Linked DNA regions of Callithrix jacchus. The protein of the gene in region 2 purifies or fractionates together with the protein of the main gene of each other region. This does not show direct contact. Links are inferred from orthologs where the notes say so. Each region holds a gene or a part of one and is shown on either strand. Other genes may lie near its edges. The genes, in order: HDAC6 and TIMM50.

Region 1 (3,806 bases), on a different chromosome or scaffold from region 2:
CCAGTTCCCTAGCAATGACCCAAAAGAGCCCAAGGTCCAGCCCCAAGCACTTGCTCGGGTCTACGAGACAGCCCTTGGGACCCCAGGATCATACTTTTCTCCTTAACTGACAGGACCCAGTGTCCTGCCACTCCACACTAAATATCTCTGCAGACCCCAGGGGTCTAGCCCAGCCCTCTTCCACGGGGTGAGTATCCTAGGTTACTGAGCTTCTGCCTCCTTCCTACCCAGGATCCTGATCGTGGATTGGGATGTCCACCATGGTAATGGAACTCAGCACATGTTTGAGGATGACCCCAGGTAAGATGCTGCAGTCAGGGGCTGTGGTGTGGTCAGGGAGATGGGTGAGCACCTCAGGGGTATTGGAGCCCCTAACCAGCTATGGCCCCCTTCCCACCCCCTCCCCGGCAGTGTACTCTATGTGTCCCTGCACCGCTACGATCATGGCACCTTCTTCCCCATGGGAGATGAGGGTGCCAGCAGCCAGATCGGCCGGGCTGCAGGCACAGGCTTCACCGTCAACGTGGCATGGAATGGGCCCCGCATAGGTGATGCTGACTACCTAGCTGCCTGGCATCGCCTGGTGCTTCCTATTGCCTACGAGGTAAAGCTCAGTGTAGATCTCAGGATGTATGTGATACACCTGTGCAGGTGGCAGCCTGGGCCTGCCTCCTCAGCATGTGTGCGTTTGACTGCCAGGTGGCGGATCATATGAGACAGCCCAAGGGTGACTAATGAGGCTACTGGGGCAGTTGATGACTGTGATTACCTTGTGTGTTTGACCACACAGGTGGCTGTACAGGACTGCCTTCTCTGTGTGACACTGTGTGAGTGACTGTCTTGCCTGTGTGTGTGAGGGCCTTCTGGCTATGCAGCAGTGGCCTGTGTCCTGGCTGGATCTGTGTTGTATATGTGTGCTATCACAAGTTCTTTAGTATGTGTGTGCAATTCTGTGCAAGTGGGTATTTCTCACCACCTTTTCTCTGTGCGATGGATGTGATATTGTATGTCACTAAATGCAGCCATCTCTATGACAGCCTGTATGGGACCCTCTGGATGTGGAGGGCTGTGTGTGACAGCAGTCACTGTCTGACTGTCTGCCCTGGCTGTTTGTGTATGTGTCTCTGACTGGGAGGTAGCTGCCTTCCCTCTGTGTGAGCTGTGGGGCGGGGGGGTCAGTGGCTTGTGTATGGCTGACCCTGGGAGGGAGGGGAAGGAGGTGTGAGCACTGCTCTGTCACCCTGGGTGCCAGTGTGCATCTTTGGATCTGCACGTGCATCTGACTATGCATGGGTGGCCAGGACAGCCTTCTGTGTGTATACAACTGTATGTGCAAGTGACCAGCTCTTGTGGACACACCAGAGTGCATGTGGCTGTTGTGGCTGTGTGGTGATGGCATGTGTATGATTGTGACTGCAGGATGGCTGTGGGTTATTGTCCTTTTTAAGAAACTATGTATGTATGTGTGCGCATGACTAGTGCAGATATGTAGTACTGTTCTATATGGGACTGTCTGTGTGGGATTACACGTGGCTTTGTGTGACCATCTTCTCTGTGTGTGGTGCTTGCGTTGCCATCTTCTGTTATGGAAGTGTGTGAGCACCCCTCTTTGGCACTATGTACATAAAACCCTGTATCTTGTGTATGTGTGTCCCACGTTTGACCCTGGGGTGTGTGTGTGAGGACATGTCTCTGTCTCTCCATTTCTCATGTCAGTCTCTTGACATCTGAGTCTGGTCTCATGACTCTGTCTCATGTCCCCATCTGTCCATTTTTGCTGTCTCCATGTTTCTAGATCTGCATCTGTTTCTTCTATCTCTGAGTCTATATTTCTCTTCTTCCTCTCTTCATTTTCAGTCTCTGCTTTTGCATCTCCCAGTCTTCAGGCCCCGTGTCTCCATCTCTCTGATTTGCATCTCCATGTCTTCATTTGTCCTTTTCTCCATCCATGTCTCCTTGTCACCACCACTTACTGCCTACCAAAAGCCCTTACCCTCATGCTTATACGTCTCTTCTCTCCCTGCCTCAGTTTAATCCAGAACTGGTGCTGGTCTCAGCTGGCTTTGACGCTGCACGGGGGGACCCGCTGGGGGGCTGCCAGATATCACCTGAGGGTTATGCCCACCTCACCCACCTGCTGATGGGCCTTGCCAGTGGCCGCATTATCCTTATCCTAGAGGTAACTCTCTCTTGGTAACCTTTTCCCACAGTGGGAGGGTAGTTTGGGAATCTTGGCACTATCATTCAGTATAGTTTCCTAAAATCTCCTTTAAGTGTCCCTGCCTGGAATTGTGGGCACACACTGGGTAGTAATTGGGTAATAATAATAAGAATAACAGCAACATTAACAGCTTTGAGTGCTCACTGTGTGCAAAGCACTCTTCTGAGCACTTCATGTATCTTATTCATTTAGTTACTTGGCAAAGCAGCCTTATGAGGTAGGGTTAGCTTTTCCCCTCTCAAGATCAGGGAAACTGAGGCACAAAGAGGCGTGATGACTAGATGACTGAAAGAAATGTGCCTGAGATGGCACATTTACTGATGGCAGAACCAGGACTTGAACCGATGCAGCGTGGCTCCAGGGTTTGTGTTTTTTACTGTTACCTGAACTGACTCTAACAAGTTCCTGGGACAAAGAAAATTCACTGACCTTTGTAAGTGACTCGGTATCCCCATGCCCTGTGCCTCAGTTTCCTCATCTTTATGAGGCTGGCTAATCATGGAGGAGTGCCTGGCATATAGTAAATGCTGGATCTGGTAGATCTGTTTTTTTTTTTTTAATTGAGACAGAGTCTCGCTCTGTCACCCAGGCTGGAGTGCAATGGCGCAATCTGAACTTACTGCAGCCTCCACCTTCCAGGTTCAAATGATCCTCCCACCTCAGCCTCCTGAGTAGCTGGGATTACAGATACCCATCACCACGCCTGGCTGATTTTTGTATTTTTAGTAGAGATGGGGTTTCACCATGTTGGCCAGTCTGGTCTTGAGCTCCTGGCCTCAAGAAATCCACCCACCTCAGCCTCACGGAGTGCTAGAATTACAAGTGTGAGCCACCACACCTAGCCCCTGGTTACTGTTATGCATTGTTCAGATACTAACCCGCTCAGCAACCTTCTGTGCTGTTATTTTCACTACTTTACAGATGAGGAAAATAAATCACAGAGAAATTAAGTGGCTTGCAAAAAGTCCCACTTACCATGTGCCCAGTACTGTTTGTGACAGGGCATGGTGGGAGTTAAAAACACAGATGACTCCATCAGAGAGCCAAAGTTCAAATCCCAGTGCTGCCTCTACAGCTGTTAGGACCTCAGAAAAGTCATCTAACCACTCCGAGCCTCAGTTTTATTTATTTATTTATTTTTTTGAGATGGAGTCTCGCTCTGTCACCCAGGCTGCAGTGCAGTAGTGCAATGTCAGCTCACTGCAACCTCCACCTCCCTGGTTCAAGCAACTCCCCTGCCTCAGCCTCCGGAGTAGCTGGGATTACAGGTGCACACCACCACGCCCGGCTAAGTTTTTTGTATTTTCAGTAGAGACAGGGTTTCACCATGTTGGCCAGGCTGGTCTCGAACTCCTGACCTTAGGCAATCTGCCCTCCTCAGCCTCCCAAAGTGCTGGGATTACAGGCGTAAGCCACTGCGCCCAGCCTTTTGCCTCAGTTTGTCTGTAAAAAGAATAGCAACTGGGATTCCTGTAGAGTGTAAAGAAAGTCAGAACAGGAGTCCATATGGAGAGAGAGTCCGTTGTTCCTGTACTAGATCAGGGCAGGGGCTTTTGTATGGGTTCACAGCAGGCGTCTCATGCAG
Region 2 (4,594 bases):
TCACGCCATTGCACTCCAGCCCAGGCGACAGAGCAAGATTCCGTCTCAAAAAAAAAAAAAATTAGCTGGACGTGGTGGTATGGACCTGTAGTCCCTGCTACTCAGGAGGCTGAGGCACGAGAAACACGAACCTGGGAGGTGGAGGTTGCGGTGAGCCAAAATTGCGCCACTGCACTCCAGCCTGGGTGACAGAGCAAGACTCTGTCAAAAACAAAAACAAAAACAAAAAAACCCCACAATATCGAAAGCAGTTAGACTAGTAAACATATACACTTTAAACCTCCAGGTTTTCCTGCCCAAGTTAAATCAGCATAGTGATTTGTTGAAGCTAGCAAGATTCTAATCTGCCCAGTCAAACCAGCACTCACTCACCTGCCCAGTGTGAAAGACTGTATTAACATGACTGTTTGCAAATGTCCCCACATAAACAGGTGGCTTTCTGGATCCACCAATTTCATTTGACAAGACTGACAACTACTCTACTATCCAATTTGTCAGAAATTTCAGCACCAAAAGCTGGTTAACCAGATGGGGTGGGAGGAAGGAGGCATTGTTTTGAAAATGAGACTAATGGAGTAGGGGCTTGGGGGGGTTGGGTAAAGAGTTGGGAGCTGCAGATGCTCAGTCTAAGGCACAGGAACCCACGTGTCTGGAGATAGGCCACCCTGTGTCCCCAGGCCCTCCCACCCAAGGCTCCCCACCCCCATCTGTCCCTGACCATCTGCTCAGGGCTGAGGGGCCAGGGAAGTGGGCTTGGGCTTTGTAAAGTCCCTCCCCACAAAGCTATCCAGCTGCTGGCTCCCCAACCTCCCCAATGGAAGGAGGAGGGGCCAGAGACACCAGATGGGGAAAGACACATCCTTACAAATGACAGAGCTGAGAGGGTCGGGGACTCCAGAATCTGTGCTTGTTTACTCACCATTGTCGAATTCATCAGGAATCTGGGAGGTAGAGAGAAAAATGGAAGGTTTAGGATGTCAGAGGCAGAACCTCATCACACCCATAAAAGGAATCTCCAGGACCCCAAGAGGAATAAGCAAAGGTCCTTAGGAAAGAAAGGCTCACTCCAGACCAGCAATGAGCCTCAACAAACCAAAGGGGACCCCTCTCACCCACAGGCTAGGACTCCTGGCAAGGCCTCAGTCTCTTTTCCCCTCACCTTGGCACCTTTTTCGTCCACAGAGTTGTTTCCTGCAAGGGAAACCAGGATGAATATGAGGAATTGGGGTGCAGTCTCCTAGGTCCTGAGGGAGGAGTGGGATAGGAGGCCTGGACTCCTGGATCTGAGGGAAGAGAGTTAGAGGCACAGCCTTCTGGATTCAAGCCAGGAGGGGGCTGGGAGCCAAGATTCCTGGGTCTTTGAGAGAAAGGGGGCTGGGTCTGTGTCTCTTGAGTCTGAGGGATAAAGGAACTAGTGGGAAGGCTGGATTTTTGGGTGCTGAGGAAAGACAAAGTTTAGGAAGCTGATCTACGCCTATCCTTCCCCATCTTCCCCTCTTTCCTCTATCCTGGTACAGGAACCAACTAGAAAGACTAGAACCTTAAGAGGTAGAAGGGAGAAGAATTCCCTGGTTTTCAAAGGTAGGTGTCCTACTTGGCTGCCCTATGGAGGAGAGCCAGGGAATTAAGATGGAGAGGTTTGAGTGGGTAAGAGTGAGAGGTTCCACAGCGGACGAGGGAGGCAAGGAATAAAACTAGGGGGCAGCGATATGTCCCTCACCAAAGATATAGACGACGCTCACGGTCCCACCAGCTCCAAGCAGTCCAGCAAGCCAGAGAGCAACTTTTTTGGCATAGCTGGGACCCTCTGAGCCCGGCTGCTGCTGTGGCCCCTGTGCCTGAGTGCCCCCGCGGCTCCCGATCTCAGCGACCTGCGGTTGAGAAAGGGGAGGTCAAGAGAGAAGAGCTGATCGTTCCAGCATTCCAGTCCAAGAAGAATCAAGTTCAGGAGTCAAGAGGCAGACACCCACAGAGCCTGGACGTCTGTGTCCCTGGAGGGGCAGTCAGGAAGTGGGGCTGCTCAGAGGGTCAAAACCAGACTGTCCAGCGCCAGGATGCCAAGAGTTTTAAGAGCCAACAGGCCAGGTGCACAGGATCCTGCAGACAACACGACTAGAGGGTGTGGAGCCCGGAAAAGCAGATCAGGGAGAATAAGGGATGGGAAGGCCTAAACTCTGGGATGTGAAGGAACGCAGGGCACAAGGGGGAGGGGTGGGAGGGCGGGAAGGGGCAGACAGGACCGGGAGTTATGACATCTGGCTGCTTGGGGCTAAAAGGTAGCAGAGTACAGGGTAAGGGATGGGAGCAGAGGCGGCGAGAGGCAATCACTTGTCTGGGGCTTGGGGAACTAGGACACAGAAGTGATAGACTTGGAGGTCAGAATGGCTGGGTCTCTGACAACATGGAGGCAGGTCGAATTGGAAATCCAAACGTCTACCTCACCACCCTCACCACCACCACCACCACCTTGGGAGTAAAAATAACTCCCAAGGCCAGGCTGGGACTCCAGCGTCCCACTCCCCTCCTGCTCAAATAATCACCTGAGTGGTCACTGAGATGGGAAACAGGTAACCCCCTCCTCCTCCGGCGCCCACGTGGGTGGGAGGTGGGATCTGGAGGACACACCTGGGCCCCCAGCCTCCAGGCCAGGGGAGCAAGTGCTATTCACCCAGGAGGCTGGGAAGGGGCCCAAAACCCAAGCGACGTTTTATTCAGCACCCTGAGGTGCGGCGTCCCAGAACCTCCAAGCCGCGGCGATATGTCCGTAACTCCAGGGAGGGGACCCCACATTCAGAGCGCCACCCTCGTTCCGCTCACCTGATCCGGAGCCCGGGGGGGCGGCGTCGCCAACCTCGTGCACAGTCCCCGCAAGCCTAGCCGGAGCCCGCTCCGCAAGCGCGATAACAGAGCTACCGAGGTCGCCATCTTGCGCTGACGCCACGCGGCCCCACCCACTTGCTCCCTTTATTCCCGCCCCGGGCCGGAGCTACAGCCAATGGGAACGCAGAGGAGGGGCGGGCGGACGGAAGCCCGAAATAGACCAAAGGCTTCGGGCGGATTGCCGCAGGCACGTTTGCCCCAACGATTCTGTTTGATGTCCCTGGGGGCACCAACTGGGATCCAAAGTCATCTGGACCACGCCCAACTTGGGCCGTGCGGAGCGCCACCGCCGAGGCAAAGGATGCAGCAAGGGAAGTGGTCAGATTGCCTAGAGGTAAAGCAGAGGCCATAATGAAGGGAATCATTGGCTGCCTGATTTGTCCCAAAAAAAGTCAGGAGTCAGGTCGCTTGTCTCACGTGTAAGGGCATCGGCCTTCGCCTCCCAATTGTCAAAAATGGAAACTGGGGCTTAGAAAGCGACCTGAAAAGCCAGTCCTCAAAACCTTCTGGCCAGGCGCGGTGGCTCACACCTGTAACCCCAGCACTTTGGGAGGCCAAGGCAGCGGATCATCTGAGGTCAGGAGTTCAAGACCAGCCTGGCCAACATGACGAAATCCCCGTCTCTACTAAAAAAATAAAAATTAGCCAGGAGTTATGGGGCGCCCCTCTAGTCCCACCTACTGGGGAGGCTGAGGCAGGAGAGGCAGAGGTTGCAAGGAGCCTAGATTGCGGCACTGCACTCCAGCCTGGGCAACAGGAGGCTCTCTCAAAATAAATAAAAATTAAAATTAAGGCTGGCGCAGGGGCTGCGCAGGGGCTCACGCCTGTAATCCCAGCACTTTGGGAGGCCGAAGCGGGTGGATCACCTGAGGTCAGGAGTTCCAGACCAGCCTGGCTAACATGGTGAAACCCCATCTCTACTAAAAAATACAAAAATTCTCCTGCCTCGGCCTCCCAAGTAGCTGGACTACAGGAGCCTGCCACCATACCCGGCCAATTTTTTTGTATTTTTAGTAGAGACAGGGTATCACCCTGTTGGTCAGTATAGTCTCAAACTCAACTCAAATAATCTGCCCCACCTCGGCCTCTCAAACTGCTGAGATTACAGGTGTGAGCCATCACGCTCGGCCTTAAATGTTTTGTTTTTTCTTTTTTTGAGACGGAGTTTCGCTCTTGTTACCCAGGCTGGAGTGCAATGGCTCGATCTCGGCTCACCGCAACCTCCGCCTCCTGGGTTCAAGCAATTCTCCTGCCTCAGCCTCCCGAGTAGCTGGGACTACAGGCGCACGCCACCATGCCCGGCTAATTTTTGTATTTTTAGTAGAGACGGGGTTTCATCTTATTGATGAAATGTTTTATAATACATTTACATTTGTAAAAAGACAGGAATATCTAATGAGGAAGGGAAGCAGGTTCTGGGTACTAAGCTCCAGTCTCTTTAAGATTGCACCCACTCCTGCCCCACGTCATTGGAAAAGCTACAGCAATCCTGCTGTCACTGCTGTCAGGGCTCAAGAGAATGGACCGCTGAGCACTGTAGCTCACACGTGTAATTGCAGCACTTTGGGAGGCCAAGGCAGGAGTATCACTTGAAGCCAGGAGTTCAAGACCAGCCTAAGCAATACAGTGAGACACATCTCTATAAAAAATATAAAAATTAAAAAGTTATCCAGGTGTGGTGAAGCATGCCTGTAGTCCCAGCTACTTGGGAGGC

The links.
Region 1: the proteins of TIMM50 (region 2) and HDAC6 purify together in Homo sapiens (affinity purification with mass spectrometry; 3 studies listed by BioGRID and IntAct, counting the BioPlex papers as one, with this or other methods). This does not show direct contact. The link is inferred for Callithrix jacchus from reciprocal best matches to the Homo sapiens genes TIMM50 and HDAC6.

What each region holds. Positions count from the first base shown.
Region 1 is NC_133524.1:49,398,952-49,402,757, forward strand, and holds part of HDAC6 (protein deacetylase HDAC6), read left to right. Parts: intron 1-231; coding exon 232-300; intron 301-411; coding exon 412-604; intron 605-2,029; coding exon 2,030-2,179; intron 2,180-3,806.
Region 2 is NC_133523.1:34,962,175-34,966,768, reverse strand, and holds the start of TIMM50 (mitochondrial import inner membrane translocase subunit TIM50), read right to left. Parts: upstream 2,942-4,594; 5' UTR 2,926-2,941; coding exon 2,818-2,925; intron 1,872-2,817; coding exon 1,721-1,871; intron 1,192-1,720; coding exon 1,160-1,191; intron 942-1,159; coding exon 920-941; intron 1-919. UniProt on the Homo sapiens protein: Essential component of the TIM23 complex, a complex that mediates the translocation of transit peptide-containing proteins across the mitochondrial inner membrane. Has some phosphatase activity in vitro; however such activity may not be relevant in vivo.